Linked DNA regions of Cricetulus griseus. The protein of the gene in region 2 binds, or shares a complex with, the protein of the main gene of each other region. Links are inferred from orthologs where the notes say so. Each region holds a gene or a part of one and is shown on either strand. Other genes may lie near its edges. The genes, in order: Alkal2 and Alk.

Region 1 (4,421 bases), about 22 Mb from region 2:
TGAGTTCAAGACCAGCCTGGTCTACAGAGCAAGTTCCAGTACAGTGAGGGCTACACAGAGAAACCCTGTCTTCAAAACCAAAACCAAAACCAAAACCAAAACCAAAACCAAACCAACCAAACAAACAAAACCTTGGGTGATGAGGGTTTTATTACTCATGGAAAGAAAACAGCACTGGTCAGAGCAGTGGAGGTAGTCAAAAAAAGTTTTACAGGGAAATTTCAGGCCAACCAGACTGTTTATACCCCAACACTTTGACCACCAGCAGACACCTGAGCATGTCACACCTAATCTGTGTGATGTCCATTGGAATAGAATATGGACGTTGTGCTGGAATTCATAAACAAAACGAGAATGTGAATGAAAGGAAGGGTTCAGTCCATTGCAAGAGTTGATTACGTCCAGTGGGTTATCATGAGGTAAATACTTTCCAGTGGGATTGGTTGTTACAGAGTTTAAGCCATCTGCTCCAATGTCTAGGCACCCTGCCCCAATCCAGTCAGGTAAGGACACTCAGGCCCCCGCACCTGTCAAAAAGCAGACCTGCTGCACTGAAAAGAAAGAGTGGAGCGCCATTTGCCTATTGGGTGCTCACTTACATGCAGGGATGGTGCAGTCTCTCGTGTTGTGGTAAAGTCTGTGAAAGTGCTTGCTGCACTTCGGACTGAAATAAAGAGGACCTGGAACACAGAGGAAGAAAGTCACAAAGACTCAGGGCAAAAAAGGAGCAGGGAGGGCGGAGGAGCGAAGGGAACACACACCTGTGAGATGTTTCAGAAACTTGTCCTTCATCCTTAGATCTCGAGGAACAATCTCTATGAGGGGTGAGAAATCGTATTACTTGAACAACGCACCTGTTAAGTGTGATCTTAAGTGAATGTGGAGGAAATTTTTGAGAATCCCATTATCTATACTACAAGGCATTGGCTAGACTAGGACAACACTTGGTAGTTGCACATAATAGAATGTGGATACTTAGATCAGCATGGTTTTTCTCAAGCAGCATTAACTACTCATAAAACTCCAATATTACCAGTCTATTTTCTCTGGATATGATAAGCGTTACAGGCCATAAAGTTACAGGTTTGGAAAAAAAATGGTTTTGGATAGGTTCCAATGGATGAACCACTTGTAAACACTTCAAAGAACTTTGAAATCAAATTCCACAGCATTTAAAAATTCTAGAAATAAACCTGAATCTTCAAAACAAAAAAAGTGTGTTTTTGAACAGTATACATTGTAGGTGATGTTTTAATTTCTTTATGACTCTGATAGTGAGGCTAGTATAAACAGATGGGAATGTACATCACCTTGATTTATAAGGAAAGTAGGGTCTCCAAGGAAAGAATTTTAAACACCAACTCATAATCATGCTTTTCATTGGCACCTGGTCCCTCATGATGGTTCCCCGTTTGTTTGTTTTCCCCTGAGTTTGGATATTGTTTTTGCTTTATTTTCAGTCTCTGTAATCATTTTCTAAGTCTCTGACCCACATGAGGCCAATAACTTCTCTTATGATTGTGAAATGTCACATTTTATTTTACCAGAAATACTAGTCTTCTCTTTCTTAATAGCCGAAGAGAGACACTGACATTGAGCCTTTCATGAGGGAGGTGGAGACTATTCCCTAAAGCCTTTCTTCATGGACTCCTTACTTGAGTCAGTTTACACAAAAGTGACCCTCTCATATTTGACCTAATTCTGTCATGAAAGCATTAAAAGCTTGCATGCTTCCCTGAGAAATTCCCATGGGCCACTCTGGGAAGGGCTCCACCAGGGAAGCTCTGGCCATTTCTTCCTCTGCTGGAAATGGTGGGCTGGGAACCTTCCCCTGAGAAGAGCAGAGTATTCTGAACTGGGCACCAGCATATCTTAGAAGTGAATTGGGATTGTTATTTTGGAGGCTCTCACACAGTCTCCTGTTTCTGCTAGTTTCTTTTTCTTGAGAAACAATAAAAAACAAAACAAACACAAAAAACCCTTAGTTAAAATTTTAAAAATGGATTCATCTTTAAAACTGCTTCTAAAAAATTCTATTTAAGAAAATACTAATATAATGTGTCTTTCAGATAGGTAGCCCTTTCATCCACACTGCCAATACCCACTTTTTGCTCCTCAGTACACACTGTGGCTAGAACTCTTTCACGGTCCACACTGACGGGATCTCACTCATTCTTTTTCCTTAAGGTCTACACTGAGGGACACTCAGGCATCTTGGTTTCTCAGGTCCATATTGCCAAGACTCACTTTCACTCACTCCTGTCTATCAGGTCTACATTGCCAGGACCTCGCCTACTCTCTTCCCCGTGGTCCATATTATTGAACAATCATTCACTCTATACCAAGTAGATTGGAACTGTTAGACACTCAGCAGTCACCTACTCTCTGCCCCTCAGGTCTACACTACTAAGATACTTCCTGTTCTTCTTGGTCTACACTGCCCGGATCCTCATCCACTCTCCACCCCACTGGTCCATACTGCCACAGCTCAATCTCATTAACTTTCTGTACTTTGTGGTCTAAGCTGCTGGACACTCACCCACTCTGTTCCTCAGACTAGGGCTCTCTCTTCCACACTCTATCTTCATAGCTCTACACTGCCAGACACTCACTAATTACTTTTTGCCTTTCAAGCCTACCCTGCCAGAACCCTCCCTTACTCTATGTCATATTATGGTCTACACTGCTGAGCTCTCACCCACTGAGTCCTTCGTGTCTACACTGAGGAACACTCACCCACTCTCTGCTCCTCTGGGTCTGCCCCATAATCCGTGGCCTCTCTGCCGCCCAGGGCAAAGTCGGACTCGCCAAGGAGCTGCAGTCTCTTGTCTCCCGTGTGGAATTTCTTCAGCTCCTGGACCAGCTCAACTAGCAACCTCAGCAGCGTCTGCCTGTCTGCAGGCTCGCGGGGCTGCGCGCGTCCCCGGTCCCCCACCATGCTCAGCAGTAGCAGCACAAGGACCAGCGGGCGCCCTGACACGCGCATTGCCCCGGTGGCCTGCGTCGCGGGTCTTGGGACCCGCCGCCCCACTAGCCGGAGTCCAAGTTTCCCGCACGCGGAGTCCGCGCAGAGACCGCGCCGCACAACTTTCTTGCACCGCGGGAACCGCGCGCGGGGTCTTGGACACTTCTTAGAGATAGGAGGCCACAGGTGTAGCCCGGCCTCACGTCTGGAGCTGCGGAGCAGTTGGGCCACCCTGGAGTTGAGAGGCCAGGGCACCTGCCAGCTGTGGGTCCCGCACTGCCCTCAGGCACCTGCGACCACGCGGTGGATCCCACGTTGCCCTCGGGCACCTGAGCCCACACGGTAGGTTCTGCGCCTGCGGCGCTCCTCCGTCCCCCAGTTCCGACACTACTTATGAGCTCCAGCTCCACTTGTCCAGCGCAGGGACACAGGACGCACAGCTCCTGCGGGGACAGCGCCGACCCTGCTGCTCCAAGTCCCGCTGTCCTCGGGCGCTTCTTATCCCCGCGGCCGCCGACGTCAGGCGGGTCCCCCGGGTTCCGAGCGCTGCTTTAATTAGAACCACCGAGCGCTGCTCCGGGGCGCGGATATTCGTCAGGCCCCTCCGCCTCTCGCGCTCTCATCCCCTCCCCCGTCCCCTCCCGGCCCAGTCTTCAGTCTCCGCCCCTCCCTCACGTCTCCACCCGCGTCTGGTCTCCCCCTCTCTCGTCCTTCCTCTGCCTCTCCTGTCTCTCTCTCCGGCAGTCTGTTTCCCTCCGTTCCTGTCACAAGTGACAGGATGAGCAGAAATGCCTTTACCGGGAACTGGAATCTGTTTTTGTCTAAATGTAGATCTTGGGCTATTTAAAAGGAGCTGCTTGATTGCCTCGACATTGAGTGTCATCCAGAGTCTGGACTTTTCCGAGGAGGGATCTGCCTGGCCACAGGCAGGTTTCAGGGTCTGAAGAAGATGATGGGGAACGCCTTGCACTTGGAGGGACCTAAGCAACCTGCAAGGTCCTTGGAGTAGGGACACTGCTGGTCCACGAGTCGGCTCCAGAGCTCTTACCACTCAAGGTGCATCTTTAAGAAAGTTGGATCTGTTGGATCTAGCCAGGCACATTTGCAAGGGCACAGCAATTTACTTGCTTGATTTTTTTTTTTTTCTTGCGATAAGTATTACCAACTGCACAGTTTCCCATTTCATTGGTGCTTTCTGGGCAGGAGCTGGACGTCCTCCAAGTCAGCGATCACATCGGGAAAGGTGTTCTTAGTACAGCGTCAGAAAGGGAGAACTCAAGCATTAAAAGCCTGGATCTTTAACCCGCAGCTGCTCAAGCTGTTGTGAAGATGCAGTGCCTTGCAAGTGCGCACCCGCATTGGCCAGGAGTGAGGAGGGGATCACTGTGGGCCAAACCCCTTGCTCTGAATGGACCCTGGAATTCTAATTCTGTCTCCTCTCTCCACCACCTTCTCT
Region 2 (4,336 bases):
CCATCAATAACCATTTGATCCCAATCTTGCCTAAAATGCTTGGCCAAAATTTCTAGCCTTTTAATGGCAGACTCCTGGCTCTTTCTGAAGCCAGCATTTCTATATGTGTCAAAGGATACATAAGGGTTGGCCCAGCTGCCAAATGGACTGCACTCCTGGGACAGAGCTTGGATGTTCACTGCTTTCCTGCAGCCAGTAGCAGAACAGCTATTGAGAGACACCCCTTTCTACATGAAACTTCCCCTAAGCATGGTTTGATTTCACATGGGGCTCAACTACAGCAGTATGTTCTTCAAATGCATTATGTGAGACATCCACTGATAGTTTCTTTGCAGCCTGTCTATAGTTGGCAGGTTCAGGGCTGGAAAATAACCCCTTTGCCAGCCATCAACATGTGATAACAGTTGATACAGATGGTTGGGGCTTATGGTCATATCACAAGAAGTGATGCAGAAGCTCCAGCAATGCTCAAAGACATGAAAGTGAATGAAAATTTGTCTTTCCAGAGAGTCATTTGTACATTCATTACAGAAGCATCGGACACTAAAAGAGAATGTTGCATATATAAACCACAGAAGCCACAATGCCATTACAGGCCAGATGTTCTTTACAAAAGTCTCCTTAGTGGGACAACAGTTTCATTCTCTCATTTCACTGAAGGCACTGCCAAGCTCATCAGACCCTGCCTTTCACTAGGCACAATATAAACCCCAGCACTGATCATAAAGGGTTGTTTTAAGTGTTACCGATGTCACCAATGCCAGTGCTGAGATACAGACCCACACTCTGATTTCCTTGAGGACCGCATGCCAGTAGTTTCTATGCAATGACAGGGACCCTCAGCTTCTTGGTAGCTCTGCTACGAGAGAGCACTGAGTGTAGTGGAAGTGGTGTGTGTGTGTGTGCAAGCATGGGAGAAATTGTACCTCCACAATGGGCGCCATTCAATGCTTTCCATCCAATTAATACTAAATATTAGTAACCAGTGGAGCATAAGAACTTCATTTATTTCTGATGATGAGAATGATAGAAAAGAAGCTAGTTTTGCTCAATGGAATCAGTGTGGGCTTCTTTAAAAAAAAACACAATTTCTCTTTCTGTGACTTTTCTCATCATTTACATTGAATATTTCATTCATTCACAAGTCCTTCCCCCATGGTCCTATGAGAAAAACATTCATTCAAAACCACCTGGTTTGCCATTCAAAAGACACTAGTGAAAGAGTTAGAAGTGTGTGCTTGCACACACAGCCTTAACTTGATGAATGTGGGAGTAAACAAAACAGAAACCTCATTCCAGGAGCCTCCAGCAGTGAAATCAGCCCGCCAGAGACTGTCATCTAGAGCAGCTGCTACATACATGCAGGATAAGACTCCCAGGGAAAACAAAGGGGGTGGGGGAGAAAAGCAATAGACAATTATTGCTTCTCTCCCAAATCAAGGCAACTTCAACCATTTTTATTCCTTTCTCCACAAATCTCCTGCCTCTTGTTCCTTAGTTCCCCTGGGATTTTGCCAGGACATGTGAGAAGAGTGACAGGCTGATAGTGCAAAACAGACGGGGGTTGGGGGATTCTGGTATGGCAGAATGAATAATTAAGGAGGAGGGAACCTCTGGGCTAGCCAGTACTGGGGTGGAGGGCCAGGGTTGGGAGGCTGGTTGAGACTCAAGATAAAGAGGAATTCTATATTCTCTGGGAAACTCTACCCACATTCCCCAAATTGGTGGTGGCCTAAAAGAGGAACAAGAGTTCAAAAGAGAGGGCAACAGTTTGAGGCCTTGTTAGAACTTGGAATTTAGGAGTTATGGGAGCATTTCAACCATTCTCAGAGACAAGGAAGGAGGACATCCAATTACGATACAATTGGGTCATGTCTAAGTCGGTGGGAGGCATTCTATCAACACTGAAACTTTTCTCCCAACTTGATTGCTAAAGAAGAAAAACCGATATATTGGGAAGTGATTATGCTCAAGCTCATAGAAAAGAAAAAAAAAAAAAAAAGCCACGGGTCTAATTTCAAGAATGATGAAAAAAGTCTAAGAAGGGTATGGGTTAGTTAATAGTGGCTCCAAGTTGGTGTAACTAAAATGCAAATCCCAACACACTCTGGTGGGAGCTGCTCACCGGTACCAAAGATCTGGAAGAGAAGGCGGGGCTGGGACGCTCGGATCGCAGTGGATAGCCTTCCCTCCCTGCCCACTTCCGATGCCTTCTTCTCAGGCATCAGGCGGATCCTCAGCCGCCCTTCGCCGTGGTGAATCCACCAACTGAACAGCTCGCTGAGGTTGAACTGGAGTATTCCCACAGCCGTTGCCTCCTCTGGGGGTCCAATGCAGCCTTCAAGGATCGCCTCTTCACCCAGCTCCAGCACTAGCTGTTTGGCACGCCTGAGCTTGCGCACAGAGCCTCCCTTCAGCACCCTGGACAGCGTAGAACCCACCTCGGGACTGGGCGAACTGGCTGCGTCTGCCCAGGAGACCCCAGGCGGCGGCCCCAGAAGCCTGAGCAGAGGAGCGCAGTCCAGAGCCAGTGATCCCCGTGCCTCCAGCCCACTAGCCCCGGGCTCCGAGGGGGACGGCGGCTGTGGCAGCAGCAGGTCTCGGGCATAGACGCGGAAGAGAGAGGGAACCACGAAGTCCACCGCCAGACTCTTCCTCTGCAGACGCGAGTAACTGAGTGGCTCCCGGGGCTGCAGAGGCGGCCCTGCGGCCAGGAAACCCGAGCGCTGATCCGTTGCAGCTCCGGAGTCCGAGGCTGCTGCCAAAAGCAGCAGCGACAACAGCCACAGGAGTCCAAGGGCTCCCATCCCGCTGGAAGGCTAGAGTTTATACTAGTGTCCCTTCCCTCGCTGGCCCAGCCTAGCCCTTCACTCTCTCCACCACAGGAAGGGGTTCCAAACAGTCCTTGATCCTGAACAGCCCCTTTCTCTTGATCTCAGGGATTGTGAGTGGGCTCAATTCTTCTGCTTTCCCCCAAGTAAGCAAGTAGGCAAGAAGCGTTCTTAGCAAAACCGATCTGGAAGTCAGGGACGAGTCCGGAGACCGTGAGACACGCTGGAGTCAACAGCTAGACCCTGAGCCTCTCGCAGTCTGCTAGGAGTGCTGTGCGCCTGATTGTAGCAGCCTTCGCTCTAGGACCAGAGAAACTATCACTGAAGGGAGGTGGCAATTAGGTACCGTTCTAGGAGATCTCAGTGACCAAATCTCTCCTCGCAGCCTCCAATGTACCGCAACTTTCCAGGCTGAGAACCTTGGCTCCGGGCTGGTCACTGTCTTGCCCACGTCCTCCGCTCCTGTCACTTCCTCTGATCTCCTTCCCAGGTCTAGGCAAGGACCACCGGAGGGGGCTGCTTTCTAGCGCCCTCTCAAGTGACCTCCGCTGCAGGAAGTCTTTGGATCACCCTGCCCGCTGAACTTCTGGGCGTGAACGCAAGCTCTGCGTTGCGGAGAAGAGGCTCCTACTGCCTCCGCGCAAGTTTGCGGCGTCCTTGCTGTCACCAACGTTTTTGGCTCCTCGGAGTTCACTCCCAGGCACCAGAGCAGACCCGGCCGCAGCCACGGAGTAAAAGCATTTCAGGCAGGGGAGTCCGCAATCTAGCCCCCTCCTCACCTACCAGCAGCGCCCGCGGTTTTGTTGACTGGCCAGGGGGCGGCCGGAAGGCGTTTCGCTGCCCGGAGACCCCCTGGGCAGAAGCAGCGGGAGGTGCCAGCTGCCACTGCCGCCGCCGCCCCCAAAGCCGCTGGATTGCATCTGCCTGGGCGCCCGCCACTTGCAGCTGGCGGAGCCGCGAGCGCGCGCCGAGAGGGGGCGGGGCCTCAGTGGAGGCGGGACTCCTGAGCGAACTCAGCGCAGCTGCCCAGCCCACGCATGCCAGACCCGCCCCCTCCCTTGCCTGCCAACCAATGGTGCTGCGAGGTCCGCTCCTATGCAAATCTGCAGAGGCCTCGGTATTCATTGAGAAAAGCACCAAGCCCGCCCCGCCTCCCGCTGTTGCTTCTTATTCCTTCCTCCGGATCGTCTGCCCTATTTCTCCGCTGTGCGAACAAGAGAGTATTTTGGATAAATGGGAAAACTGGAAATGATCTTTGCAACCAAGCATTCTCTCTAATTATGCATTTAACAGATTAAATATGTCCGACTTCAGAAGAGCAGGTTCCGAAATAAAACTGGAGGCAAAAGAAAACCAGGAGGGGTAGAGTCACCCTGCAAGATCCAAGAACAGCTTGTCTTGGGGCCTTGAAAGGGAATCTTGTCCCTCCTACACTTCCGTTATTTGAAAGCATTCCTAGGAGTCTAGCACGTCTGAACCGCGGAGCTGTTCTTCGGCCACATTAA

What was found.
Region 1: the proteins of Alk (region 2) and Alkal2 are in contact, whole or in part, in a cryo-EM structure (PDB 9G5I), measured with the Homo sapiens proteins. The link is inferred for Cricetulus griseus from reciprocal best matches to the Homo sapiens genes ALK and ALKAL2. Residues at the interface, in NP_004295.2 of Homo sapiens: Leu684, Tyr739, His755, Ser758, Leu760, Phe856, His857, Glu859, Leu965, Tyr966, Thr967, Pro968, Leu970, Lys971, Val972, Met973, Glu974, Glu978, Asn980, Val992, Glu994, Cys995, His996, Met997, Phe1007, Asp1009; in NP_001002919.2 of Homo sapiens: Ser112, Lys113, His114, His116, Arg117, Leu118, His120, Asn121, Thr122, Arg123, Asp124, Arg133, Arg136, Leu137, Arg140, Leu141.

The regions. Positions count from the first base shown.
Region 1 is NC_048600.1:32,865,657-32,870,077, reverse strand, and holds the start of Alkal2 (ALK and LTK ligand 2), read right to left. Parts: upstream 2,987-4,421; coding exon 2,737-2,986; intron 816-2,736; coding exon 762-815; intron 681-761; coding exon 600-680; intron 1-599. UniProt on the Homo sapiens protein: Cytokine that acts as a physiological ligand for receptor tyrosine kinases LTK and ALK, leading to their activation. Cytokine-binding is sufficient to activate LTK. In contrast, ALKAL2-driven activation of ALK is coupled with heparin-binding to ALK.
Region 2 is NC_048600.1:10,992,235-10,996,570, reverse strand, and holds the start of Alk (ALK tyrosine kinase receptor), read right to left. Parts: upstream 2,808-4,336; coding exon 2,126-2,807; intron 1-2,125. UniProt on the Homo sapiens protein: Neuronal receptor tyrosine kinase that is essentially and transiently expressed in specific regions of the central and peripheral nervous systems and plays an important role in the genesis and differentiation of the nervous system.